4 linked regions of the Lonchura striata genome follow. The main gene of each other region encodes a partner of the protein of the gene in region 2 in a complex. Links are inferred from orthologs where the notes say so. Each region holds a gene or a part of one and is shown on either strand. Other genes may lie near its edges. The genes, in order: GEMIN2, SNRPE, SNRPD1 and ARMC7.

Region 1 (7,247 bases), on a different chromosome or scaffold from region 2:
TCAGTGCTAGAGCAGCTCCTAGCTGGTCACACCTCAGTACTTGAGGGACTCTACAATGCAGTATCAATGCACTGTAAACATGCTGTCTGCAGCAGTGGAATCACAAATTACCTCCACCTATATTTTTATTATATTTTCAATTCATCCTGCTTGAACTGTGCATAGAGAATAATAGAATCATAGATTTGGGCTGGAAGGGGCCTTCACAGGCCATCTAGTCCAGCCCCTCTCCCATGGGCAGGCACATCTTCAACTAGCTCAGGCTCAGAACCCCATCCAACCTGACCTTTAGTGGTTTTGAGGGATGGGGCATCCACCCCTCTCTGGGCAACCTGTGCCAGTGTTTCACCACCTTCACTGTAAAAAAAATTCTTCCTTATAGCTAATTGAAATCAATCCTCCTTTAGTTTAAAACTTTAGCAAAGCTTAGCTGAACTTAGAACCTTTACCCTTTGAGACTGCTTATTTTCTGTTCTTGTGTTATTTCAAGCAGGGTGCAAATGTATCAGGAAAGATGAAAGTCTGTGCTAATTCTACAACCTTACAAATATGTTTTACCAAATCAGTATGTCTCCTCATAATGGGTTGCCACCTCTGTCAACAGGTTTCTAAATGCACTTTATGAATCTCCTGATGGGTTAGAATCCACTTTGTTCTTAGTTAATATTAAGTTCTGCAGAACATTTCCTGCTAGCACTATGTTTTAATATAACTGCATAACATCATAGGGGTTTTTGTCCTTCCTCAACCATGCCTTTTAATTTAATCAAAATACAGAGAATTTCTTAAACTTGACTCTCAAGAGTTTCATCAGAGGTTTAAAAGCCACACAGTATATGCTCAATTAGCTTTCAAGAACTTAAAACACTTGCCTATAAACTTCTATCCTGCAACAAAATCGCAACACTTCTCTACTAGATGTAAAGTTATCCCCTATAAAGCACAGATATGTTCTATCTAGACCATGCAAGACCCCTCACAGACTATCTTGTACCTGACGAACAGCTGAGAAATTGGCCACTTGCTGCTGCTGCCACTTGAGCGTTGGAGAGTATCCTTCAGGAGCAGGCTGACATCCAGAAATCTGAGAAAACACTGGTAATAATTATAATGTAAAGAGATCTGCATAAGAAGAATCCTTAAGGACAAGAGAATCAGTAAATGTTTACTATCAGGTCAACAATATCCTTGAACTCTCCATCTAAGAAAGGTAATTTCATGACCACATCCAAGGCTGAGTTAAGATTTTGGCTTAGACAAATTTGACACTTCTCATATGTACATAAGAAGGAAAACTAAGTGTTCAAAATACATTGTCAAATAATTACTTAAGGTCTTCCTTTCAGCAATTGTTCTGCTTTAATCTCCCTGCTCATAAAAAAATGGATGCAGCTTCCTTATCTGGGACAGATACTATCAATCTTAGGCAGTCTTCCTGTGAAGATAGTAGTTGAGGAAGACAGAAGACCATAAAACCATCTAGAAAATTAAATTTGATAGTTAAGTAGATATAACTGCTTTAAAGATTAGCATGAAAGGGTTATTAAACAAAATCTTTCTACAAGTGCTTAAGAATGTCACTACAAACAGATGAGACAGATGAAGAGAATGGCTACAGAAGTTACAAAGTCATATCAGTATTAGAAACTTTCTTTGAGAAATCTAGTAGGGCAATCTCAGATTACATCGTTGTCGTTGGAGAAAGGCAAACTATTTGAAAACAGATTAAAAACCAAGCTGGCAGGGCAATGCAACAACAGAAAAATCTGCTTCAACAGTAAGGAGAAGTTCCAATAAAATATTCCTTCCAAAAGGAAAGTGGTACTAGAATTTAATGTAACTTTAGTAAAGCTTAGCTGCACTTACTACCCTTATGCTAAATATAGACTTAAACCCAAAGACAGGTATGGATATGTTTTTCTTCTAAAATTTATGCAGGTTTAAATTTATGCAGGATTAAATAATTGTAAGATTTAATGCAACATTTGATTTCCTTACACAGTAAAATAGTCAGCTGTGTATCAAATAGTATGGGGATTATCAATTTAATAATTTAGAAATACTGCTGTTACCCAGCAGGTGAGCAGGGGTTTCTTCAAACACAGACATTTAATTCTGTAGATGCTTTTAGAATCTAGCAGTGCTATTCAGTTATGCCAATGACTCCCCCAAAGTAATACAAACATCATTATAGGAACATCTCTCCCGGTTTCCCCCCTACTCAAAACGTGCAAAAGCTCTCAAACTTACTGAAATGTTTACTGTCGGCTTCTTCTTCAATTTTCTGGGATCTATTTGCGCCACAACAACGTCAGGACATCGCGCTGCTTCAATCCTACAAAACAGAATCAAGTGGGCTGCATTTTTTTCTTTCATGTGACAGGTCGGTATATACCGGATGTCTTTGAAATACTCATAAAAATCATGGAGGGACCAATCAATATCATTGAGTCCAACTCCGTGCACACGACAGCCCAGAAATCACACCCTGTGCCCGACGGCGCTGTCCAAATGTTTCCCGAACTCTGTCATGAGCTGTTCAGTGCTCAGCCACCCTCTGGGTGAAAAACCTTTTCCTGATAGCCAGCCCAAACCTCCCTTGACACGGCTTCATGTCGTTTCCTGGAATCGTGTCGCCGGTCACGACAAGGAAGAGATCGGTGCCCGCCCGTTTTAAAGCAGGTGTTTAAACACCGGTGTGAAAGCACCGGCTGTGCCGGCGAGGGCAGCACGGCGCGGCCGCCCTGGCGCGCCCGAAGCCCGGCCCGGGCAGCACCGGCTGCCCCGCCACACTCGCGGAGAGGCGACGGGCCCGGGCCCGGCCCCACCGCCCCGCCACTCACTGGACGCGCTTCAGATACTCCTGGGGCGTCCTGGGAGGCACGGTGGGATCGAAGTCCTCGGCCAGGTCGCAGTCGCCCACGGGCAGCAGCCGCGGCATCAGCTCCTCCAGGCCCGGCTCCATGGCCCCGCGCGGCTCTCGCGAGAGCGGCGCTGCCGCGCGGCGCGCGCCTCGGCCCGGCGCCGCTGGGCGCGCCCCGCGCCCGGCGTCGTGGTTGTCCGGGCGGTTGTCCTCCCGCCGGGGAGCACAACAAGCATGGCCGAAGAGCAGCGGCAGAAGAGGGGTTGCCAATCCACTGCCCATCAAACTACGCCTATTTTTGTGGTGAAGAGGCGTAAACCTTTAATAGCTTCCTTCATTAGCCGCTGTGACATTATTCTAATATGCTGTAGTTTTTGCCAAAAATTCTTTAAAGCTCACCCGTTAGTACGCTCTTATTTTACTTGTGAAAACCCAGTATTCGTAATATTTGTCCCTTTCTTGAAATGCTTTGAGATCTGTGGTTAAAGTCAGTTATATAGAAGTTAATGATTTTAAATTTACAGAGTTCCCATTCTGGAAGGATCAATGCCTGAGCTGTTGCTGTATGAATTTTTCTGAAGACTACAATGTGAAAGCATCCACATGTCAGAAAGCAAGGTAGCATCTGTGTTATAAGTTGAGGCGAATAATTTGATTCAGCCTTTTAAGATCAATTAATAATTTTATTAATTACAGCAAGCGATAGCAAGCAAAACAGCGCTGGGTTCAGCTGGGAGCCTGGCTCCGCCAAAAGCTGACAACCTTTCCTTCTCTTCAGTCCCTTTTTATCTTGCATGAGTGGGGGTGATGAGTCTCGTTCCACCGTGGTTATCAGTCCCAAAAACAATGGATTTTACAAGTGGGGTGGTGTGTCTTCTTCCACTTCGGTTTATCAGTTTTCAGCAACAATGGGTTTCCACTGCGGTTATCAGTTCCAGCCAGTCCTGCAAAATCTTTCACAATCTTTGTGGTTACCAGTCAAGCCTGCAAATTCCATGTCCCGACTTCCCCCCCTTTTATCCTAATTTCATACTTTTGATGAACAAACAAGTCAATGCAGTTTCTCACATCTGCACAAAGGGGCATTGTTTCCCAGGTGAGACAAAAAGTGAAAGGGTGATGCTGTAATCATTTACATTGTGTATTATGAAATTCCTGTTACACAAATGTCCATCAGTATATTATCTCTTCAATTAGTTCTGCAGTGTTAGATTTAATATTTCAGAGTAGTTTGAGATACTTCTGACATAAGTTAAAAAAAAAAAAACAACGTTTTCTTTTTAACCCCCTGCAAGCCTGTATTTCAGTAGTTCTAAATAAACATCTGCCTTAACTCCTCCTCTCCAATGGCTTTTGTTTGTTTTAAATTGTTTCCAAAAGCACCTACGTGTACCAGGGAGATTTTTTTTCCTGAAACCCGGATCTAACGTCTTAGTTGAGTATGCAACAATTGCAGTCACCACTAGAAATAAAACTTGCCTACTTAAACCTACAGTGATAACTCTGGAAAGGCTGATGATCAAGACAAAAACTTTGGTGAGTCCAGCTATATAAAGTTCTTTTATAATACTTTAGTAATATTCAGAACTTATTTTTCCTATTTGTTGTAAAGTCCAGAACTACGAACTTCATAGAATCAAGCGAATCCACAGATATACGCTTCAAATATACTTCCTATCTTTAGATCACTTTTTATTCAACTTTCCATTGATACTTGTTAAGCAAAGCAACATATTTTTAATTATTGCAGATAGTATTTCTTACCAACAATGCTGATGCAATGGCTAGCAAATATGACTCAGTGGAGAAAGAGGAAAATGAAATTGGAAATGTATATATTTCTTCTCACCTGCTTAGGCATTAAGGAAGAGTGCCTTCCCCAAGAAAGGTTGCATTAATGGATATGCCTCATTGGCTAAAAAACCAAACCAAAACAAAGTAACATATAAATTCTGCATTATGAAAAATTAAAATGTTTTCAAATCTACATTCTAGATATGAATATGGAGAGCTAGCAAAATATTTTCTTATAATGAATAAATGAGTTTATATCTATTTTCTACTTTTCTTTCTCCTTGATTTTCTCTGTGGTTAGCAGCGTCATAACAGCTGCATGACTTTAAGTTTAGAGCATTGGACTGAGTTATTATGTAATGAAATTTAATTGTACTGAAGATTAATTTAAAATACTGAATATATTTTATTTGTAGTAAACTTTCAGAGTAGTATACTTTGCTGTTTTCCCTTCTTGCCCTTTGAGTGTCTTTAAATGTCAGATGCCTCTTTTTCTCTTATTTATAGAGTTCATCCTGCATTTTAGACTTCAGGACTTGCCTCTTTTTTGGGGAATTTTCTGAAAATGTTTCACAAGTTATTTGAATACTTTTGAAATTACAACACTGAGTAATTTGCTGTGCATCTGTTTGAAGTGTGGTAGGGTTTGGGGGTTGGTCTGTTTTTTTCTTTTTTTCTTTTGAGTTCAGGGTGAGGATGTTACATGTCATTGGCAAGCTCTTGCTTAATACTCCCACAAATGGCAGTGAGATTTGTGAACAAGAAAATTAAAAATCCCTCCCATAAATTCTGCTGTTGCTTAACTGTTCATGTTTTTAGTCTGAAGAGGACTGGTAAACCATACTGGAGAGAGCAATGGCAAAGAAATTCTATCATAATCACATCTGACATATAAAAAAAGAGGGTAAAGTTGTTTTAGTAATTTGTATTTGCTTGATGGTCACAGAATATTTTCCGAGTTGCAATGAAGGAGGCAGGATATGGTAGCCAGTCAGCAGAATGTTTTCCAGTCCTCCCCCATGTCTGGATTAATTGCACTACGACATCTCAGGAAAGACAGAAGTTATTGTTCTGGCCTTTCATGACAGCCTTGTGAAAAACAATTCCTAAAACTGAAGAGTTATCTGTTAACTTCAGTTTGTGGATAAAAAAGCTGACCACACTAACAAGATAAAGGATTGTTTCAGGTTTAAACCCCCAGGAATATAACTTCATTTTGTTTTTTCCCCAGGCACTCAGAAGAAACATCTAAACAATCTTCCAGATTAAGAAGTTGCCATAAGTAGTCATGGTGGAAGATGGGAATAAGCCCGGCTGTTTCGATCCCGGAGTTCGTGCCGGACGGAGCAGCCCCGCACAGAGCAGCGCAGCCACCGGCGGGGCCGCCGGCAGCCCCGGGGCCGCGGCACTGCCGCAGGGAGAGACGGCCAAACTGCCCCCGCTGATCGGGATGCACACGACCGACCTTCAGAAGACAGCCGAACAGGGTGGCCAACACACACACGCGAGCAGGAGCTGCCAAGGCGGCGGAGCCACGGTCGGAGCCGCGGGGCGGCTGACGCCGGCCGCGCTGCCCGGGCCGGGCAGGCCGGGGCGGCCGGCGGGCTGTGCCGGGGGCGGGCGGGCGGCGGAGCTCAGCCCGCCCCCGCTCTCTGCCCTTGACGTGGCGCGGACTCTCCCATCAGCCATGTTGGTGCGTCGGCGGCGCCGGGGCGGCTGCGGGCGGGCGGGCGGGGACAGCGAGCGCAGCGGGAGCGGCGGCCGGGACGCGGGTGAGCGCGCAGCGCGGCGCTGAGGGGGAGCCCGGCCCGGCGGAGCTGGGGTGCAGGGAGGGGAGAGGGGCAGCCCCTCCTCTCCCCGCGCTGGGAGGCACGGGCACCCGGCCCGCGGGGCCCCGCACGGCTGTGGGACCCGAAGGGAGCGTGGTGGGAGCTCCCCGCGCCTCCTCCGTGGCGCTGGGGGATCTCCGGGTGCCAGAATTGCTGTCGGGGCCCCCGGCGGCCTGAGAGTCCGGGGCTGCCGCCGGGCGCTGGTCAGCAGTGCCCGCGGCCTCCCGGGCCGGGCGAGCAGCCCCAGCAGCCCCAGCTCGGCCGGGGGCCGGCGGGCAGGGCCTTGAACGGCCGGGGTGAAGGGCAGCGCTCCCCGGCAGCGCCGGGGTGCTCCTGTCCCGGAGCTCCGCTGTAGCTGTGCCGCTGTGCCACTGACGAGGGTGCCTTCCAGTGTAGGTAAAACGAGAAATGCAGGCCCTGCTGCGTTTGATTATGCATTGCTTTTTTTTAAATTTAGGTACCGTAGTTGTTTAAAGTTTTCAGTGAGAGATCTGGGAGGGCAGATTTGGAGGAGGACTGCGTTTGAGTGGTGAAAATGTTAGCAAATTGCTTTAGATAACTATTTAAACTATTGTGCTCATGTATTTTAGTTCTTTGGAACCGAATTTGTATCTGGTATGTAATTTGGTCATAAAAAATGAATTAAGGGTTTATTATTAATCTCTTTTACCAGGTTGTTAGTGCCTAATAATTTGAGAGAAGAGGTGTGTTGTAAGAAAAGTGTGCAGTGAACTGTACTCATTTAGTGGTAGTTAAACACA
Region 2 (6,420 bases):
TTTTGGGAAAAAGGGATTTGTTTAGGGGTAGAAAGATTGGTTTGGGGAAAAAAAAAAGATTCTTATTGGGATAAAGGGGTTCATTTTTGGAGAAAAGGAATTGTTTGGGAAAAGGATTTTTTTGGGATTAAGAAATTGGTTTTGGGAATAAAAAAAGGATTTTTTGTGAATAAGGGACTTTTTGTGGGGAAGAAAGGCCTGGTTTAAGGAAAAAGGGATTTGGTTTGGGAAGAAGGAATTGGATATGGGATATCCAATCCATATCCAATTGGATATGGGATTGGTTATGGGATAACGGGATTTTTTTTTAAAAGGGATTTGTTTTGGGAAATGAAGGATTATTTTTGGGAAGAAGGGATTGGTTTGGGGAAGATGGGATTGGTTTTGGGATAAAGGGTTTGGTTTGGGAAAACTCGAACCCCCATTATCCTGAACCCCCCAGATCCAATCCCACAGGGGGAAAACCCTTGGAAAACATTTCTCCCTGAAACCCCGATCCCAGATTTTGTGAAAAAACAACCCCGTTTTATTGCCCAAAGTACAAAATCCGATTCCCCCGGGAGCTCGGGGGGTTCCCAGCGATCCCAATCCCGCTGGGGGGCCGGGAGCAGCCCGATCCTAACTGGAGACGCTCTGCAGGAGGGTGATGTTGTCCCCCTTCAGCATGATCCGACCTGCAACCAACGGCTCGGGATGGGCCTGTGGGGTGGGAGCGCCCCGATCCCGCCCGGCCCCGCAGCTGGAGCCCAATCCCACAGCTGGATCCCATCCCAATCCCACAGTTGGATCCCAATCCCACAGCTGGATCCCAATCCCACAGCTGGATCCCAATCCCACAGCTGGAGCCCATCCCAATCCCACAGCTGGATCCCAATCCCACAGTTGGATCCCAATCCCACAGCTGGATCCCAATCCCACAGCTGGAGCCCATCCCCACAGCTGGATCCCATCCCAATCCCACAGTTGGATCCCAATCCCACAGCTGGATCCCAATCCCACAGCTGGATCCCAATCCCACAGCTGGATCCCATCCCAATCCCACAGCTGGAGCCCGGCCCCACAGCTGGAGCCCATCCCAATCCCACAGCTGGAGCCCAATCCCACAGCTGGAGCCCAATCCCACAGCTGGATCCCATCCCAATCCCACAGCTGGATCCCAATCCCAAAACCTGGATCCCTGTCCCAAAACCAGGATTTAAGGTCACACATCCAGGTTCCAGGACCCACCCCCGGAGTTTTGGGTCCCAGTCCCGATTTGGGGTCCCAGACCCTGATTTGGGGTTCTCTCCCCCTGCCCTACCCAGCTGCTTCCTGGCCTTGGTTTTGGAGTGAATCTCCTCAGCATCGTCCAGCACCAGGTTCATGTACTCGTCAAAGCCCTGCTGAGCAGCACCGGCCTCAGAAACCCCAAAAGACCCCAAAAACCCATACAAAACCCCCCAAAAAAACCCAAAAACCCACACAAAACCACCCCCCCAAAAAGCCCTCAAATCCCCTCAAAAAACACCCAAAAAAAACCCAACCTCCTCATAAAACTAATAACAAACTCTCAAAACCCCAAAAAACCCCCAAACCCCCCCAAAAAACCCCAAAGCAGAATGGGGCACTCACGATGATGCAGCCCTCAATCCTCATGTTCACCTGCTCATAGAGCCACACCTGGATCCGGGACCGCTGCAGAACGGGAACAGGATTTGGGGTCCAAATGGGATTTGGGGTCAGCAGGGCCCCAAAGGGGTTTGGGGTCCAGGGTTTGTCCCCACCCCAAATCTGTCTGCGGTCACCCCTGTGTGGGGTGGGACTGTCTGGCGTGTGAGGGGTTTGGGGGAATGGGGTTAAACGGGGTTTGGGGGTATGAAATGGGATTTTGGGGTAATAAAATGGGATTTTTGGGTGGGGTTTGGGGTTATAAAATGGGGGTTTTGGGGTATAAAACAGGTTTTTTTGGCATTATAAAATGGGGGTTCTGGGGTATAAGATGGGGATTTTTGGGGTTAAATGGGTTTTATGGGGTTAAAATGGGGAGATTTGAGGTCCCTCCCCCCCAGCCCGCTGCCGGCACTCACGTTCTGCAGGTAGCGGAAGATCAGGTTCTGGGGCCGGGGTTAAGGGCACAGCAGAGCCGGGGGCACGGGGGAAACGCTGAGGGGAACCCCTGAAGGGAACCCGCGGTGGAACCCATAGTGGAACCCGCCATTCCCTTCCCTTCTTCCCTTCCCTTCCTTCCTTCCCTCCATTCCCTTCCCTACTTCCCACCCGTCCCCATCCATCCCTTCCCTTCCCTTCCCTTCCCTTCCCTTCCCTTCCCTTCCCTTCCCTTCCCTTCCCTTCCCTTCCCTTCCCTTCCCTTCCCTTCCCTTCCCTTCCCTTCCCTCCCTCCCCGAGCGCTGCGGGCAGGATACGATGGGCTGCACCATCACCTTCTGCACCTTCTGGCCCTGCCCGCGGTACGCCATGGCTGCGCGGGGCCGCGGCGCTGTGAGGGCCAGGGGAGGCGGGCACGGGCGGTAATGGCGGCCGGAAGCGGGGCCGTGAGGGGCGGGGAAAGCGGGCACGGGCGGTAATGGCGGCCGGAAGCGGCGCCGTGAGGGGCGGGGAAGGCGGGCACGGGCGGTAATGGCGGCCCGAGCGGGGCACTGTGGGACACTGGCGCCGTGAGGGGCGGGCAAGGCGGGCACGGCGGTAATGGCGGCCGGGAAGGGGGCACTGTGGGACACTGGCGCCGTGAGGGGCGGGGAAGGCGGGCACGGGCGGTAATGGCGGCCGGGAAGGGGGCACTGTGGGACACTGGCGCCGTGAGGGGCGGGCAAGGCGGGCACGGGCGGTAATGGCGGCCGGGAAGGGGGCACTGTGGGACACTGGCGCCGTGAGGGGCGGGGAAGGCGGGCACGGGCGGTAATGGCGGCCCGAGCGGGGCACTGTGGGACACTGGCGCCGTGAGGGGCGGGCAAGGCGGGCACGGCGGTAATGGCGGCCGGAAGCGGCGCCGTGAGGGGCGGAGCGCGCAGGGCATTGTGGGATACTGGCGGCGTGAGGCCCTCAGGAGATTTTTACTTTATTTGTTTTTTTTCCCTATCATTATTTTTAGGATTTTTTCTCTCTTTGTAGGATTTTTTTGTGGGTTCTTTTTTTTTCTCTCAGTAGGGTATATTTTTTTTTTTGAGTGTGTTTTTTTAAATTTTTTTTTCTCTTAGTAGTTTTTTTTCGGGGTTTTTTTGCTCTTAGTAGGATTTTTTTCTCTTAATAGGTTTTTGCTTTTTTTCTCGTAGTAGAGTTTTTCTGGGTTTTTTCCTCTTAGGTTTTTTGGGGTTTCTTTTTGTTTATTTTTTGCTCTTAGTAGGGTCCTTTTTTTTTTCTCTTAGCAGGTTTTTTTAATTTTTTTTACGTTTTTTTTCTCTTAGTAGGTTGTTTTTGTGGGTTTTTTTGCTCTTAGTACGATTTTTTTGTTCTTTTTTTAGTAATTTTTGCTCTTAGTAGTTTTTCTTTCTCTTTGTAGATTTTTGGTTTCTTTTAGTAAAGTTTTTTTTTTGTTTTTTTTTTGTTTGTTTTTTTTTCCTCTTAGTAGGTTTTTTGGGGTTTCTTTTTTATTTTTTGCTCTTAGTAGGGTCTTTTATTTTTCTCTTAGTAAGATGGGGTTTTTTTGTTTATTTTTTTTGCTCTTACTAGGTTTTTTTCGGGTTTTTTTTGTGGGTTTTTTTGCTCTTTGTAGGATTTTTTTTTATTCTTTTTTTGGTTATTTTTGCTCTTAGTTTTTTTTTCCTCTTAGTAGGTTTTTTTCTCTTAGTATGTGGGGGGAGTTTTTTGGGTTTTTTTTTAAGGAATGAGATACTCGCTTCGAGGAACACCAAAATCTTCCAAAAAAAAGGAATTTATGGGTTTCTTATCAGAAAAAGCGAATTTCTTGTTTAATTAATCAAAAAATTAATCAAAAAAATCTGCTTTTTATTGTCTTCTAATTGTCCTAACTCTACACTTTATTACTCTAATTGTGTTATTAGTTTTATAACCGATTTATTATTAAAATTTAAAAATTTAAAAACTAAGTGTTGGGCATTTTTCACACTATTATTTAATTTGGTTTGAATAACCACAATTCATCTATAAATAAAACATTTGTTAGCAATGTTCCCCTGGCTTAGAGCTACAGCAGAGCTGCGCCCTTAAATACACAAAATTTTAAAATAAAGTAATTTTTGTGCTCTTACAGTGCTCGAGTTTTCCTGTTCATTTATCCCACAAAGTCACAAAAAAAAAGCAAAAAAAATTCCCTGAAATCTCTCCCATGTTCCTGTGGAAGATCCCAAATTCCCCTTGAGCCTCCTTTTCTCCAGGCTGAGCCCCTTTCATTAATTTTCCAATAAATTTCATTAATTTTTCATTAATTTTTCCATTAATTTCCAATAAATTTCATTATTTTTCCAATAAATTCCATTAATTTTTCCATTAATTTCATTAATTTCCAATAAATTTCATCAGTTTTCCATCAATTTAATCAATTTTACATCAATTTCATTATTTTCCAATAAATTTCATTATTTTCATTAATTTCCAATTAATGTCATTGTTTTCCAATTAATGTCATTAATTTTCCATTAATTTCATTAATTTTCAATTAATTTCATTAATTTCCCAATAAATTTCATTAATTTCAAATAAATTTCATTAATTTCCCAATACATTCCATTAATTTCCTAATAAATTCCATTAATTTTCCAATACATTTCATTAATTTCCCAATAAATTCCATTAATTTACCAATAAATTTCTTTTTTTTCATTAATTTTTCTTTAATTTCATTTTTCATTAATTTCATTAATTTCCAATATATTTCATTAATTTTCCAATAAATTCCATTTATTTTCCAATAAATTTCATTAAATTTCCAATAAATTACATTATTTTTTAATTAATTTCATTATTCTTCATTAATTTCATTATTTTTTCATTAATTTCTAATTAATTTCTAATTAATTCCAGCATTCCCACCAAACTTGTTGGATACCATTCCTTAAATCAAAGCACAAAACTCTGCAAGGACACCACAGTTGAGCAGCCTACCTTTAATCCCTTAAATAGAATCATACAAATATAAAATGGAAGAATAAAATATTTACAGGACCAAAAAAAAAAAAAACCAACTAAAATCAAAATAAACAAAAATGAAAAATAAAAATAAATCCACGGGGATTCCTCTCAATCCCATCTCCAAAATAGGTTGGAAAAGAGGGAAGCAGCCAAGGGGGGAATATTCCAGGTGGTTTTTTTGGGTTTTTTTTTGTTTTTTTTCCCCTCCCACAACGATCCCAGCTGGATGTGGGAGGTTCATTACAGGGAAAAATCCTCAAAATCCAGAGGCACTTGAAGCAATGCTCCTTTTCCCAAATTCCAGGAGGAATTTTGATTTTTCCACCATCCCAAAATTCCAAGAAAAATCCCCCTTGGATCGTTCGGAGCCAGGCTCACCCTGGCAGGGTTTGGTCCAAAATTCCTCCCGGTGTTTTTCCACCCCCGAATTCCCCCCAATTCCGAGTCCACCGTGGATTCCAGAGTTGACACAGTAACTCCAGGGATTTTTTTGGGGTTTTTCTGTCCAGGAGGGAGCTCTGCCATGGGATCTGTGTTGTCCCTCCAGGGAATTCCAAGTGCTCCGTCCCACGTGGGACAAACCCAACCAGGAATTTTGGGATAACTGAGAGCAGACTCTGCCTATTCCCACCAATCCAGCTGGGAAAGCATCTCCTGCACGGATCCAACAGCATTTCCAGCATTTCTTCGGGGTGCCAGGAGGAAATTTTGCTTTTTTAGGGGATTTTTTTTTTTTTGGCGTCGCATCTTTTTCCCCCCCCCCCTTTTTTTTTTTTTCCAATAAAAATCCTTCACTTTCAGCTGTCGATCATCTCGGAGAGTTCCAGCAGGAGATCATCCTCATCCTTGCCTGGATCCAGGTCGATTTCTGCCTCCAGTTTTCCCCCGGAGATTTCCCAGATGAGTTTCTCGAAGTCGTCCTCCACCGAGAGCGCGGCTTTGGCGCCGCCGGCTGAGCTCAGGCGCCGCAGCTTCAGCGGCGCCTCCAGGGATGAGGAGCAGGAGGAGGATCCCGACACCTCTGCCTGGGCCAGGGAATGCCCCTGGCTGCCAGGCTGGGGGCTGGCAGAGCAGGGAGAAGGGAGAAGTCAGCGCAGGAGGGACCCGAGGTGGAGTTTGGGGTTTTACAAAGGGGGTTAGGGAGGGTGGGAGGGGCTGGGATTGGGTTTGGGGGAGCTGGGATTGGGTTTGGGGGAGCTGGGATTGGGTTTGGGGGAGCTGGGATTGGGTTTTTGGGAACTGGGAATGGGTTTGGGGGGGCTGGGATTGGGTTTGGGGCAGCTGGGATTGGGTTTGGGGGAGCTGGGATTGGGTTTGGGGGAGCTGGGATTGGGT
Region 3 (7,430 bases), on a different chromosome or scaffold from region 2:
CTTGAATTATGGCAGTTACCATGAGAGGCCTTTAGTTCCTCATGGTGAGAGATCTTTATCCAGGTCCTGGCAATAGCTGCTTTGTAAATAATTAAAATAACTCCTCCAAACAACAAATAAACTACTGCTTATTACAGAAGGCGAATACTAATCTTTAGTCCTTTAAAAAGAAGTAAAATAAATCTTGGAGGAGGAAAAATAACCTGGGTCATTTCCTTTTTCTGTAAGCCTCAGGAGAATCCAACCACAAAAGCAACATTTACCTTCTGATAAAATACATTCAACACCAGAGTGAATTCTCTATGAAAGTCCATAAAATACCCCACAACAAGAAACAGCCACTGTGGTTACAAAGTCTGAGAACAGCCAGTACATATGACTTGTATGGAATTAGTATTGTGCACACTATGCTGTGTTATGCATAATTCCAAACTGGAAAAAAACATCTCAGTTGGATGCATTTACTGTGTAACAGCTCTGAGAAGCAATAAAAAAACCCCCAGAAGTTTTTATTTTGCATATGCAGAGCTTTAGGTGAGATCTGACCTCCAGCTATGAAGATCAAGATGACAGTGACTTTATTTTCTGTCCTCTCTCCTCTCTCCTCCCTCTTGATTTTACACAGCTCCAACTGACCCAGTCCCTTGGCTGGTGTGAGGGGCATTACACAAAACCTGCGCCTTCAGCCCTGCTCCTGCCCTGGAGCTGGGAGGATGAGGATATTGTGCAATGTTTTTGTGGATTCTTAGCAGCAAATGAGAGAGGCTTTGCTAGGCAATTAAGCCTGAAAGAGCAGTGAGGTAAGGAAACCAGCAGTGTTAGCTTCCCATCTGGCTGGGTTCAGCAGCTTGCGCTGCCATTGGGAACCAAGGTGGTTCACTCAGCTCCGATAAAAACTGATGGACCTGGCTGCAAACTAATGCCAGTTTTGAACTCTGCCAAATCCCCACAGATTGTTGTTGGCCAAAAAAGTACCTCAGCAATCCTCTAGAATAAAATTCAGACTTAACAAGAGTTGTAACTTTTTATTTTCCAAGAGTGCCTGGGCAGAAGAGCTTCTGAAAGCTGCCTGGGGGTGAGTTTAGGAAGGCAGATGCAGTGGCTTCCTCAGCTCAGCTGTGAAGGTCTGCCTCATTAAACACAACGTGCCCCACCTGCATCCCTCCTGCTGTCTCCAAGCACAGCTCACAGAACACTCAGAACAACGTTCCTCACTGAGGTTATTAAAGCAAACAAATTCGCTTGCACATGTTTTAATACCTGAGAACTACATAATGAACCCTTCAGAATTCTCTGCAACTTTCAGCTCAGTGGTACGAAGAAGCACCTGGTAATCAGGAATTCCTAGGAACCCACAGGACAGACCTCTGGCAGCACCGGGAGAGCAGATTCTCTTGGCCAGGATTCCTCTTTGCCCTGTATCCCACACCCGGCTCTGCCGTTCTCAAACCTGCCTCTCATGCAATCAAACATATGCAAATATGCATTTCCATCTAGATCTGCCTTAAAACGTGTTCAACAGAAATAATTTACTTTATTTTTTAGTCTACATGCAAAATTTAACCAATTTCAGACCACATCAGTTGGAAAAGGCTGCCCAAAGAAGCTGTGGATACCCCATCCCTGGCAGAGTTCCAGGCTGGATGGGGCTTTGAGCAACCTGGTCTACTGGAAGTTATCCCTGTGCTTGGGAAGAGAGTTAGAACTGGATAATCTTTAATGTCCTTTCCAACCCAAACCATTTTGTGACCGTGCTACTAAAATTCTAAGAGACTGCCAAGCAAGGTTTGGAAGAGTTCGCTTCCTTCCCCCCGAGCCTGCCTGCAGGCAAAGCTGCAGCTGGGCTCAGAGGCTCCCAGCAAAACCTTTAAAACAAAGAAATCTCAGTCCACCAGTAGTGAATGGACTCACTCACTACTAAACATCAAAGACAATCCGTGACCCACTGAATTTCCCAAGTACTTTTGTGGCTGCCTATGGAGTGGCTGGTCACAGCTCCCAGCTGTTCCCAGCGACCCCCAACAATATCCAGACACTCCTGCAACACAAACACACCTCGCCCTTGCACACAAAGCTCTGAGTTACAAAGCCCATCTCCTGCATTTCCCCGTGCTGGTCCCCGCAAGAGGGAGCACAGGACAAAAAGCTCATCCGAGCCGCGGCTGTAAACTGTCTGCCGAAAGGCAGCGGGGCAGTATTTGCTGCATCCTGCCCTACCTGTGATCGTTCCGTGCACCTGCGTCCCATTCTTCAGCTCAATGGTCACAGTCTCATGGCTCAGCTTCATTAGAAACCTGTGAATTAAAAACGCCTTTTAAAAACTCCAGACCCGTTCAATCCCACATAAAGCCGTACGCGTTCGACAGGCAGCACCAAGCAGCTCGGCATCCTGAGCTCCCAAAGACGGCGCTCAGGAATTCTGCTGGGGATGTTCAGAGACACTCCGCGTCCTGCCCAACCACCGGCAGCTGGGACGCCTGAGTGACACACTGCCGGGTCCAGCATCCACTTCCAGGCGAAACGGCCATTATTGTACAAAGAGGGAACCATTTTACAAATCGTTACAATCCCGGGAAAGCAACGCTAACGCACTCCGCGGCGTTTCCCTCCAAAAATGAAAGGCGGTGGGGGAGGGGGGTGCTTTGCCGAGCGACCCGCGCAGTCCCGGGGCGGGAGCGGCCCGGCACAGGGGGCTGCTCCCGCCGGGCCCATCCCGGGCCGCTCCCGCCGGGCCCATCCCGGGCCGCTCCCGCTCCCGCCCGCGGTGGCGGGAGAGCGCGGGGCGGCCCGGACTGCGCGGGCTCGCCCGGCGCTGCCGCCGCGGCCGGGCGCGGGCAATCCGCCTCCATCCGCCCCTGCCCGCGCCCACCCGCTCACCTGACGAGCTTCATGGCGGCGGGCGGGCGGGCGCGGAGCGGCGGGCGGGAGCCCCGGCGAGCGGAGAGCCGCGGGCGAGCGGAGAGCCGCGGGCACGGCGCGGCGGAGGCGCCTCTCGGATAGGCCGCGCCGGCCGCGCTCGCCGGGACGCTGCCGCGACAGCGCCCCCTAGCGGCCCGGAGGACCCGCGGCGAGCGCCGAGCAGCGCCTGCTGCCGCCCCTGGGGGGAGAGGGCGGGGAAAAGGTGAGAGGATGGAAAAGAGGGACGGGGAAAAAGAATGGGCATGGTGGGAAGGAGATACGAATAGGAGTGAGGGGACTTGGTCTATGAAAGCCTGGCTTTTTGTAAGGTTTGACAACTACCAGCTTGCCGTCCTTAATTAAAAATAAATGTTAGAAAAAAAATCAAATAGTGTACTTCATTTTAAACCTGCTTTGAGCTTTACAAATAGGAAAAGAAATCCAAGGCCTAGAACCTGTAAAGCACTAATTTATTGTGATAAAAGTTACAGCTTCAGGATCCAGAGCTGTAATAGCAAGAATTTTCACCTATTGGTATGGCCAATAAGGCACTGAAGTGCCCTTGTGAGGAAAGAGACAGAGAGCCATCGGCCCTGAGCAGAGGTGACCCTGGGGATGCAGCGCTGGAGCACTCCAGCCACAGGTGCTCCAGAGAGAGATCCAGCCATGTCTGAGAGGAGTGAACATCTCACAGTGCAGACTGGATCAGACACTGCCCCAGATCAGCCCTGTTTGAGTGATGGTTCCCACCTGCAACAATGAGCACACACAAAACTGAAGCAGCCTTCAGGTGTGAAACAGCTCCGATTTGGGAACAGTCTGCTCCAAAGTACAAAATGCACTGCAGACAGCAATGTAGAAAAGCTGAACATTTTATTGTATTTGAAGAGTAGTACACCATTTGTGATTTTAGAAATACAGAGTCTTTGCAAAGCACTGAAACACAGGTGCCTTCCAACTTCTAAAACCTACGTTATTCTAAGTCTTACAAACCTTCTATATTAGCAATTCAAGTTTGGTCTTTGCTGCAACAAGTTCGTTACCAAAGATGCACAACTCAGTTCTAGGCTGCAAGACAACTGAGCCAAGTTTCAAACTCCACCTGCCATTGAGCCACCAGAACCATTGCTTTCAAATATTGAATCTATGATGTTCTTATACTTTGTGCCCATGAGGGAGTTCACCTTTGAAAATTTTAAGTTAGGAGGACTTCCTAGTTAGCCACCAACTGGTATTTTTCCATTACAGCATCTAGAAGCAAACTGATACCTTGCAAGTACTAGTGCTCATAAACAGGTTATGTTTACACAAAACCCAGAGAGGCCTCCAGAAACATTCAAGGTTAAAATGAACAGTTGCAAAAAGAAGAAGAAAAAAAAAAAAAATCTGTACATATTTTCAGTCATGACACAAAGGAACACTGGAGTATCAGTGTTTTGTGTTCTAGCTTCAATAATGACACCTGTGCTAGCCCTAGTAGTATTCTACATTTTTGTCCCTTCCCCCCATTTAAATTTTATATTTGCAATCTGAATATACAGCTGTACTTACAGGAAATATTAAACAATGCACAGCGCCTTAAGCAAGTTCCATGTCTGGTTTTGAACAAACCATATAAAATAAGTGACAAAATAGTTTAAAATTGGTCCTTATTTTTATACAGCTTGGAAGCACTAAATTTAAAGACACACATTAACCAGCACAAATTAGTCTGCAGTTTTTTTCCTCCATTTTTTTTTTTTTTCTTAAAAGAGTGTATTACAGTATCATGCATGAAAAGCAAGCTGCTGCTCCCAAGCAGAAATACGGAGTTTAGACTTACCGCTTTCTTCTCAGGCTGTTATTCCTTCTTTCATAAATTATTTCAACATAACCAAGGATAGAAGCAGCTGACTAGCAAAACAATATGAAGTTAATCTTTTATGTTGTGACCCATTCTTAAAATAATGAAGTACTTTGGAACTTTAGCATAAGGAAGGTTGAATAAACACTGCAAAGGACTTTTACATTCTTTGATTTTGTTTACATCTTCAGAAATAAAATTCTACATTTTAACTCACTAACTACTCGATTTTCATATGGAGACTGTAGTATTGAAACAGTGCAAGACATTTGCAACTTCAGGAACATCCAATTACACTGCCCTTTCACCCAAACAATGATTAGCAGAATATTGCATCAGTTCTAGATAAACAAGACAGGACAAAAACCTCATTTTAGAATAGCATTAGGATTCATAAATCTTTCATATTTAGTGAAAAGAATCCACACACAAATATGCACGAAAGACTCCTTAACACAGACTTTATCACAACAAACGTAATCCAGCTGTAAATCTGGACCAAGACTTTTTATTGGTAAGAAGCCATATTTGTTCAGAGATCCCTATCAGATGTTCCATTAATAATGCTTCAACATTTGGGTATTTTGAGACATTAACAGCATCAAAATTCTCTCCTGTCAAGGCCAAAAAACCAGCTGAAACAACCCAGGTGGAGCATGAGCTTCAGCAGTCCACTTAAGCTCCAAGGCATTCCAGAACCAAAAAGCTGGCTTTTGTCTTTGCACTACTCCAGTAAGAGTGGAGCCCTGCCCACTAATGCAATATTCCAAAGACCATTGCAACTAAGACTGTCAAGTCAGGTCTCAGTTGAAAGCTACCACCACCACAGGACACCGTTTCCTTACCCCTGACCCCTCCCCCATTGCCAAGGAAGAATGTTCATAAGAGCATTTTTTGGTGTGGAAAGCAGGTCAGTAGAGACTCCAAGTGTGGCTTGAAGAATCCTCAGTACCAAGCCGCTTTCCACACACACAAATTCAGTCCATCTTCTCCTTCTGGACCAGCTTGGGTGCATCTACAAAATCTTTGCCGTTGTAAAGGATGATAGCAAAAGTTCCAAAGCTGGCACTTCCCCAGAAAAGCACATAGGCCAGTGTCTCAGTCCATGTATCACCTGAGAAAGAGTCAGACAAAGCTTTTAGCTCATTATCTCCAATTAGCAGACAGTTTTACTTTAGGACAAATGCAAATATTTCAAGCTCTCCCTCAGAAATCTGTTGTCAAATGAAATCAGAAGTCTTCCACAGATCTTCCGTTTCCTTGCCTTGGAATATTTGTATTTGCCACACAGTTCTTGGAACACATTGAACAGAGATCTGTGGAAGTCAGTCAAGAACTCTACTGGCAATAATGTAAAAAAATTCAAGGCAAAAGCAGGAGGCAAAAACCCTTCACCACTCCCAACACAGATTTAGATTAAAAGGAAGTCCATCAGAATCAGGCTTATGCCTGTATCTGACCGCTCTGAATTGTCTTTCTGCCCAAAATTAGACAGGTATTCCTCTGGGGCTTCATCCAGCCTATGATAAAGCTACAGGTCTACCAAGGTGCATCTAGATTTGGGGATAATTAACTGTCCCTTAATTGACTTCTACATGAGTCTTAACACTGTATTCTACAGCACCTAAGATTTTTCCACACTAATGATACAGTGCTAAACCTCAATCTCCAGAGCCATGTTCAAGCACCTTTTAGAATGACAGAGAAGCAATTCTACACTGAACAGTTATTGTAACCATTTACACAAAGTTCACAGAGAAATAACCCAGTCTTATAAAATTAAATTCAATAGTGACTTACCAGCCATTAGCAAACAAATAATGCACATGGAGAAAGCAACCACCATAATAATAGGCAACTGAGGAAAGAGAAACAGAATAATCACTTGATACACCAGTAAATATGTTCCTTAATTTCCTTTAAGATGGGTAGTACTGTAAAGCTATTTACTTGCTTTGCTTCTCAATTCACCTGCATTCAGGTACAAATAAAAGTTTGGACAGTTCCAAAATTTGGAAGACTGTATTCAATAATTATATTTAAAACTGAAATACACTTCCTGTGCATTAAATGAGAGGTTGAGGCTTATGCTTTGTTTTAAAAAAAATACACCAGTTAAACCCCATTATGTTCCCAAATGCCATTTCAAAATAGAAAGATAAGGTGAAGAAAAATGAAAAAAATGGGTGTTTTGTGTTACAGTCTATGCTTCTGCAAGAAGTGCGAGAAAAGAAGTCCACAAGATTCTTCTGTATAAGGAAACACTCATTGATAGTGACTAGTAGAATTTCCCCCCTTCCACCTGGTGAAGCACATTTGAAAAAAAGCAAAGAGTAGTTTTTCCAATACCTCAAGGACACTCCATTTTCTGTCAAGGGAAAAGTCTGGGTTTAATCCTATAAGCAGGTATCATAGAAACATTACCAGATTACAGGGATGCTTCATGACTAACAGACAAGTCCTACTCAGGCAAAATGAAGCCAGGGACTGAATTGTTGTCTCTCCTATTACAAATAAAGTCTCCATACTCACAGCTAAGAACTTCCAATCCTTCTTGACATGTAAAGGACTAGCAGGTTCTACTTCATCTACTGAATAATTTCCAAGAAAAAGATCAATCGCATCCTGGAAGAGAAAGGGAAGGCAAGAGTTCGAATGCATAGCAATGTTTCTCAAATACATTTCCCCA
Region 4 (7,728 bases), on a different chromosome or scaffold from region 2:
TCATCTGAATATACAGTCTTGGTGCACAGGCTTCCTGCTTGCTTCCCATGTTGGGGGTGGCAAGACAAACACTTTCCACAGGAATTGTGCTATTATTTTCCACATCTCTAAATATTATACAAAAGCAGATGCATGGGTTGTAGAACTCAGACAAATCTCTAGTAAGATAAACTGTTTTCTCCTATGAAGCATACACGGGAGTTCTTCATGCCAAGGACAGTTTCAAAGCCTTCAAATTCAAATCCAGAGTCCCCCCAAAAAAAAAAAAAAAAAAAACCAAAAAAAAAAAAAACCACACCAACCCACCATGCCTTCGAGTGCCTACTTTGTGTAACTACTGATATCTCAAGTGCAGTTTAATATATAATAAAAGAGGATTCATGGCTCATGTAAACACTCTTCAGCATCAACTGGAACCAATTTGTGGCAGGGAGGGTAATATCAGACCTATGAATAAGGATATGCATCCTTTTATAGGGCAAAATACAAAGCAACTGTAGCTCCTCTTTGTGGAGATCAGTTCAGCTCTTTAGTCTTAGACTTTTGAACCTAATTACACCAGCATTCCCATTATAGAGAACTTTGCACAAACATAACTTATATTTCATAGAAGCAGAACTTACAAAGAAATCTGTGGGGGAAGCATAGTGGAAAAAGCCAGTGTTGCTGACTTTCTATCCATACAGCCTTGAGTGTAAGTGGCTTTCTCTGCCACATTCCCAGGATTTAGGCTTGTCTCTGCTCAGACAATGGCTGCAGCAGCCTCAGCATCAGCTCAAGATGCAAACTGTTCATATTCTGTGTCATCCCTGATCCAACAGACACAGATAACAGCTCATGAAGCACACGGATAAAGATAACCCAACACATCAGAACAATCAAAAAGATGGAAGCACAAAATGGGAGTGAAATGGAAGAAGTAACAGCCTTCAATGGAACTGCAGTGCCTGTCTAAGAACTGTTATAACTCAGCTGCAGTGCTTATCTGGAGAACTGTCCTAACACGTTCCTAGTGACAAACCCACAGCTTTCATTAGAGCTCCCCAGAAAAAACAAACAAACCAATTAAAAAAAAAACACTTTGCATGAAACCATTCAAAAACTGACTCCACGTTCTTCAGAGACTACAATGGCTTAACAGGTGGCTTTTACACAAAACGGGAGTCAGCCCTTCAGACAGGCTCCTGCTCCTACAGCTCAATACTGTCTTGGGATTACAGACCCAGGAGGATTTGCATTTCCTGAACAAACCTATACTTAAATAAGATGGTTAGGGGGAGACATACATATCTGATCTCTCATCACATGTGTTTATTAACTTATGTAATGCTTACACGATCCATAACTATGAAGTAAAGAGGGACTGGTGCTTCTCAGCTTACCAAAAGAGACTTCTATACATTCCTAAGAAAATGAAGAGGCTTTCTCACAAAAAAGCAATAAAAAGGGATTAAATCCCTAATTTCTTCTAGCTATTGCAAATAAACAGCTAAGCAGCTGAACAGGTTGCCATTTTCTCTGTAATTCTTAAATTTTAAATTCTGTTCACCTTTCTACACTCCCTTTCTGTTTTCTTACAGAAATATGAGGTTATGTGGCCCCAGATCCTCTCATTGCTACAAATGTCCTGGACAAAATAGGCAAGATATGGTGTAAGCTACAATCCACCAAAATTTCTGACAGGAAACAAAGGTTAGGTGAAGGAGCAATGGAAGGCACCTCCTGCATAGAGCCAGCTGATCCACCTGTAATGCTTTTGCCTTGGCTGCTTCATAAAAAAGGAAATGTACAGGGCAAAACCAAAAAATCTTCACCAACTGAAGCTGACACAGAGATCAGCTCCTCCTACACCAAGGCAAAGATACCTGTTTTGATAATTTCTTGATTGTGCAAGATAATTTAGGATGGATGACACTTTTCAGAAGTGTTTTTTGATACTCCCAGACTTATCTCTGGGGTCACTGGGACTTATTCGCAGGTGCAGAGAGAGGTTTCTGGGAAGAAAAACAACAAATTCACAAACCTGTTATTTTAACATTTCTTAAGTTGCTGACTGAAACCTTTCTAATAGAACTTAAGCCTGAAAACAGGTTTGTCTCCCCTGGTTACTTTCCACAGAGCCTTTAAAAGTAATCCACAACCCACAGGTTTGAAGCAAATCCTCAGCAGTCAAGAAGTATTACATTTTATGCTGTGTTTCCACAGGTGAATATGATGTCTTAGTTCCCATAACAGAGAAAACAACTCCTCTCCTTTCCATGGGTCTCCTCTCCCATGTGTGTTTCCCACCTGGACTCCAAGCTGCCTTGAGCAGGAGCTTGGCAAAGGATACCAAGAGAGACCTGAGCATGCTACAGAATAATAAATATTCCCCCTCAGAGGGATCCTACAGGTGCAGCAACACTCAGGAATCTTGGGGACCAGAAGGAAAAGAAAGTGATAAAAATTCCCCTCATTTGTTTAAGGTCAGCCTTTTACACAAGGCAACAGCAGCCTCACCGAAGCAGTTCCTTTAACACCTGCAGACAGTAAAACAACCCTGGGACAAACACTAATAACTCAGCTAGGTTACAAATCTCTGAGAAATAACAGAGCCACAAAAATTGAGCCATGTCCTCTCTTGCCCCTCCCCTGCCCCCTTTATCATTGAAGATATTCTCACTATTGCAAGATAAACATTTTGGCTAGAAGCACATTTCATCACTGAAATGAAACACACTGGGGACATTCACACTAACATATTGCAAGATCATGATCCTTAAAAGCCTAAGATTCTTTGTCAGGGTAATACTTGAGAAAGTTTAATATTAATTATATACATTTAATAGCAATAACCCCCAAATAAAGGTTACGGCAATCTTACACACTCTAAGACGCCTCTGAAGTGCAAAATCACTTCATTTAAGAGCTTGTCTTGCTGCTTGCAGACATATCTAGTAGATATAAGAAAAGAAACAACTACTAGAAATCTAAATTTCCTGAATTCTGGCTTCGGTGTGCTATGGAAGTCACCAGAATAGCCCCTGGAGCTGTGACTACCCTGGCTAGATCAGCCCCTGCTCTGGGAACTGCTCTGGCAAACAGCCATTGCTTGGAGCACTCAGACCATTAAACTGTACCGCCAATATCGGGTGGGTTAAATGCAGTTCTTACCAACAGAAGTAATTGCATTTTTCCTTTTTAAACACAGTTCCCCCCCCCCCTCCATTATTAGTCAATCCCAGCAGCGCTCTGTTTGCATGGACTAGCTCCCTGTGTTTGCTTTCTCTGCTCCTGCTTTCCCACATTTCTCATTCACCTTCTGTTTAATGATAGATGAGGATTTAAAGTACAGCAGCACTTACCACTTATAAAGGCACACATTAGAGGAGATTTCTTACTACATTAGCAAAACATTCTAATATAGACACAGTTCGTACCACCTTGCTGATAATTTTCAGATATATTCAAATATGCAGATAAAAATACATGTATATATTTAAACATATACATAAATACACACTGACTTCAGTTGATAATCATGTGAAGAGCTAAAGTTGTTAGCATTTAGCCTGGCTTAAACTTTTATACCACATAGAAATAAATGTTTTGTGTTTCATGTTTTGTATCTTCCTACACCATTACAATGTTAAAATATTTAGCATTACTGCATTCAGTGAAGCTTCTTTGCTCATCCTTCTATTTATTGTAGTAATGGGCAGATATTTCAGTGCCCTCAGCTGTGTGGGTTATCAGCCCACCACCCTTGTCACTGGTGCCATGTGGATCAGTCCATGACTAATTAGCTTGATATAAAAATCAATTGTATTTGAGATAACATAAAAAATAAAATTCTCACGGCCTGTTCCTTGCCTTATCCACAGAACAGCCATGCATGTAATTGCTTCAATAAAAGCAGTACAAATTTCTGCAGAGTCCACTCCTACAGTTTATGATCTTTATTAACCTTTACCTTGTATATTTACACAACATGAACCATAATTGAACCCTCTTGCAGCAGGTAAAATTGTGGTGGTTTCACCGAGCTGTGTTACTTCAAAACAAGGGACTCACTTTGCTCTGTGCCTAAACCACTGTACAACCAAGCTAGAATCACCTGCTGCTCTTTAATTCACTCCCTGGCTTTGTTTCATTTTTTTTTCACAGATAATTTCCCTCACTGTGCACATATTGTGTCCCGTTTTTACTTTTTATCCCTCAGCTTCATGAATGACAATCCCGTTATTTAAACTGGAACTGATCCAGGAGCAACACTACCCCAAGGACAACAGCATTAGGATGGAATAGCACAAGCACAGAGGTGAAAATTCTTTGAGTAAGAAATCAGTGGGGAAAGGTTACCTGCTTTGCAAAACCACACGTTTAAACAGCAACGCTCTGCCATATAATGAGACAGTCAAATACCTCGACATAGGCTAATTTGTTTTTATAGAACGTATATAATTATATATAATGTATTTAGAGAGAGAGCCAGCTGCGGAACAGCCACATCTCCCCCTGGGGCGCGGGCCTCCCCCCGCCCACAAAATGGCGGCCGCCTGAGGCGCGCTGGCACCTCCCTGTCCCGCCCACAAAATGGCGGCTACCTGAGGGGCGCTGGCACCGCCCTGTCCCACCCACAAAATGGCGGCCGCCTGAGGTGCGCTGGCACCTCCCTGTCCCGCCCACAAAATGGCGGCCGCCTGAGGCGCGCTGGCACCTCCCTGTCCCGCCCACAAAATGGCGACCGCTGAGGGGCGCTGGCACCGCCCTGTCCCGCCCACAAAATGGCGGCAACCTGAGGGGCGCTGGCACCTCCCTGTCCCGCCCACAAAATGGCGGCAACCTGAGGGGCGCTGGCACCTCCCTGTCCCGCCCACAAAATGGCGGCTACCTGAGGGGCGCTGGCACCGCCTTGTCCCGCCCACAAAATGGCGGCAACCTGAGGGGAGCTGGCACCGCCGTGTCCCGCCCACAAAATGGCGGCGGGCGGGCTGCTCCCGCCGCGCTGAGGCGGGCGTGTCGTCTCCATTCCTCGGAGCACCCAGTCCGGTGCAACGGGCAGCCCGTGCGGTGTGCCCCGATGGAACTGGGTCGGCTGGAGTACCTGCAGGCGCTCGTCACCGAGTTCCAGGTGACGGACAGCACAGGTAACAAACGCCGCTGCTCGCTCGCCCCCTCCGCGCCGACCGCTTCCTCACGCACCGACCCTTTTCCCCTGCAGAGGCCAAGGAGCAGGTGCTGGCGAACCTGGCCAACTTCGCCTACGACCCCAGCAACTACGAGTATCTCCGGCAGCTCCAGGTGCTGGACCTGTTCCTCGATATGCTTACGGAGGACAACGAGAGCCTCGTGGAGTTTGCCATGGGTAAGCGCTGCCCCAGCACCCTAGGTCTGGTCCTTAACCTGCCCCAGAGTCACCCAGGGCTCCAAAAACAAACCCACACTGTGCTGATAAAGCCTCGTTTAGTGCACAATGGGAGAGAAGTCAGAGGCAGGTGTGTCTTCCATGTCCTTGCAGAGCTTAATGAAGACACTATCTGGAAAAGATTTTGTTGTTTCGTGGTTTTTTTTCCTAAACACTACCTGATTAACTTTGTACTGAAATCTGTCCTGTAGAGAAGCAGTTGTTAATACATATATTTTGCCAGGTACACTGTACAGATCCATGTAACCATTCTGATATTGGCAACTGGTCTTCTAGAATACTTACTTGACAATTTTAATAAATCTTTTGAGGAACTACCTTACCACGATTTTTCATTGTCTGAACATAAGCTAAAAGGCCAGATGCTGTGAGTGGTTCTGTGAGATGATACTAAATGGATTTGATTTTTAAGGTTTGTGTCTGCATCTCAAAAGTTTCAAGTTTCAAACATTCTGTGTTTCTTGACTGCTAACTCTGTTACCTCCATTCTCTGGCTTTCTATAGCACCTGCAATAAAACTGCTGGCTTGTGTCTTCCCTTAGGGATGAGTGAGCGTTCCTGGAATCATTGTGTGGGAGCAGTTATGTGCAGCAGTAACAGTGCCCTCTAATGACAGGCAGCCGGAGCGTGCTGGTGGAAAATCGCTGGAAACAATCAAAAACGCACAGCCTAGGGAATCGTTAAGAATTTTCCATCCATCCAGAAGATCTGGATGATAGAAATAGGATGAGCTGTGAATTGCGTCACCTCGGACACTTTCCTCTTGCCGTTCCAGGTGGCCTTTGCAACCTGTGCTTGGATAAAACAAACAAAGAGTACATCCTGGAGGCCAACGGGGTGGAGCCCATCATCAACTGCCTGTCCAGCTCCAACGAGGAGACCGTGGTGTCAGCCGTGACCACGCTGATGTTCCTGACGACACCGCGGTCGCGCGCGCAGACCACGGCGCTGCCCGTGGTGGAATGCATGCTCCGCTTCTCGCTCTCGGCCAACACGCGCCTCAGTAACCTGGCATCCATCTTCCTGCAGGATTACTGCAGCCCTCCACAGGTGGAGGAGGCCAGGAACCTCAGCAAGCACACGGCAGTGGGCATTCCTCTGCCCAAGGACTGAGCAGGGCTGTGGAGAGGGGAACCTCCTGTTGTTCTCCCTTTCTGCTCAGCAGGTCAAGAGCAGCATTAAAGAGAGGAGTTGGTGCCACCAGTGCTGGTGTTTAGTTAACAAACAGGATGGAACAGCACTAACACAGCAGCTGGGCCAAGCGTTCAGCTAAGCCTGCAAATATTTAAAATAAAGCAGGTCATAGCTGCACATTGGAAAGTGCTTTGCCAACTGCAGCTCAGCACACGGTTTGCACAAATAACACTTCCCAGTAAAGAGGGGTGTTCTGCTCAGGTTATTGAGCAGAATTATATCCACTCCGGTTCCTGGCTGGTTGTGCTACACCTCTCCCCTTAAGTGTCTGTGACAAGTGACGCTAAGTGTCAAGTCACTGAAATGTCACAGAAAGGTATTCTTCCTTCAGAGAAAGGAGTTTCCCTGCCCCGTTCACAATCTCTCCATCCCTGTGGCACTAGTTATGCCATCCTCTAATTGTGGCACAGGCAGCCAGCTAGGGAATCATTACATAGGGTAGGCAGGCTGTAGCTGCCCTATAAATGAAGAAGTGCTAAGTTTGTCTTTATTACCACTGATGAGAAAGGTGAAGTAAAAAAAAAACGGGCTCATGACAGCCTGGCTCATGAGAACAGCTCTCTTGTAAAAGCTTCTGTTAATAAAACATTAACTTAAATGCTGTGTAATCATTTCTGTGTGAGCTAATGAATATTTTTCTCCAGCACTTGCAGCCTTTGCCTGCTCTTACTCAAGCACAAGGGCCAAAAAATCGAAGCCAGCCTAGTCTCTTTTCATTATCAGCCATGAGGCAAGAGGAAACCCCATAACCAGGGTGGCTAAATACATAAAATTTAAAAGGTTTGAGCTCAGTGCTTCCTGACAGACACCCACACTGGATCTGCTTACATTTGAGAGCCTTCTTCCTCTTCTCTCCCCTCTGGCCCCAGACAGCACAAACCAAACAGGAATGAGGTTAAACACACACAAAAATCCAACCACAGCTGCTTGTAGTTTATAGTTTCTCTTCTCCAACAGCAAACATCCAAAACACTAAGGAGATGAACGGTGCAGAGCAATCTTCCAGAAACACAGAGCACTGTCTGACAGGAGCAGCTCGTTTCTGTGGCTGATCCCTGCAGTGACAGAGCCTCCTGGGCATGGCAGGGGCTGGGCTGGTTGTTTCCTGGCAGTGGGAAGAGCATCCC

The links.
Region 1: SNRPE (region 2) and GEMIN2 share a complex: the UniProt entries of both Homo sapiens proteins name them as parts of the SMN-Sm complex. The link is inferred for Lonchura striata from reciprocal best matches to the Homo sapiens genes SNRPE and GEMIN2.
Region 3: SNRPE (region 2) and SNRPD1 share a complex: the UniProt entries of both Homo sapiens proteins name them as parts of the SMN-Sm complex. The link is inferred for Lonchura striata from reciprocal best matches to the Homo sapiens genes SNRPE and SNRPD1.
Region 4: SNRPE (region 2) and ARMC7 share a complex: the UniProt entries of both Homo sapiens proteins name them as parts of the minor spliceosome. The link is inferred for Lonchura striata from reciprocal best matches to the Homo sapiens genes SNRPE and ARMC7.

What each region holds. Positions count from the first base shown.
Region 1 is NC_134608.1:23,823,865-23,831,111, forward strand, and holds the start of GEMIN2 (gem-associated protein 2), read right to left. Parts: upstream 3,004-7,247; 5' UTR 2,966-3,003; coding exon 2,844-2,965; intron 2,336-2,843; coding exon 2,251-2,335; intron 1,085-2,250; coding exon 995-1,084; intron 1-994. UniProt on the Homo sapiens protein: The SMN complex catalyzes the assembly of small nuclear ribonucleoproteins (snRNPs), the building blocks of the spliceosome, and thereby plays an important role in the splicing of cellular pre-mRNAs.
Region 2 is NC_134632.1:2,737,541-2,743,960, forward strand, and holds SNRPE (small nuclear ribonucleoprotein E), read right to left. Parts: upstream 2,528-6,420; 5' UTR 2,457-2,527; coding exon 2,403-2,456; intron 2,094-2,402; coding exon 2,067-2,093; intron 1,675-2,066; coding exon 1,612-1,674; intron 1,380-1,611; coding exon 1,301-1,379; intron 675-1,300; coding exon 619-674; 3' UTR 504-618; downstream 1-503. Other genes in the region: ZC3H11A (zinc finger CCCH domain-containing protein 11A), read right to left, coding at 5,883-6,147. UniProt on the Homo sapiens protein: Plays a role in pre-mRNA splicing as a core component of the spliceosomal U1, U2, U4 and U5 small nuclear ribonucleoproteins (snRNPs), the building blocks of the spliceosome.
Region 3 is NC_134603.1:111,362,178-111,369,607, forward strand, and holds the start of SNRPD1 (small nuclear ribonucleoprotein Sm D1), read right to left. Parts: upstream 3,006-7,430; 5' UTR 2,892-3,005; coding exon 2,878-2,891; intron 2,295-2,877; coding exon 2,218-2,294; intron 1-2,217. Other genes in the region: SACM1L (phosphatidylinositol-3-phosphatase SAC1), read right to left, coding at 5,719-5,855, 6,542-6,599, 7,274-7,366. UniProt on the Homo sapiens protein: Plays a role in pre-mRNA splicing as a core component of the spliceosomal U1, U2, U4 and U5 small nuclear ribonucleoproteins (snRNPs), the building blocks of the spliceosome.
Region 4 is NC_134621.1:5,395,064-5,402,791, reverse strand, and holds ARMC7 (armadillo repeat-containing protein 7), read left to right. Parts: upstream 1-4,914; 5' UTR 4,915-5,062; coding exon 5,063-5,129; intron 5,130-5,203; coding exon 5,204-5,347; intron 5,348-6,182; coding exon 6,183-6,520; 3' UTR 6,521-7,212; downstream 7,213-7,728. UniProt on the Homo sapiens protein: As a component of the minor spliceosome, involved in the splicing of U12-type introns in pre-mRNAs.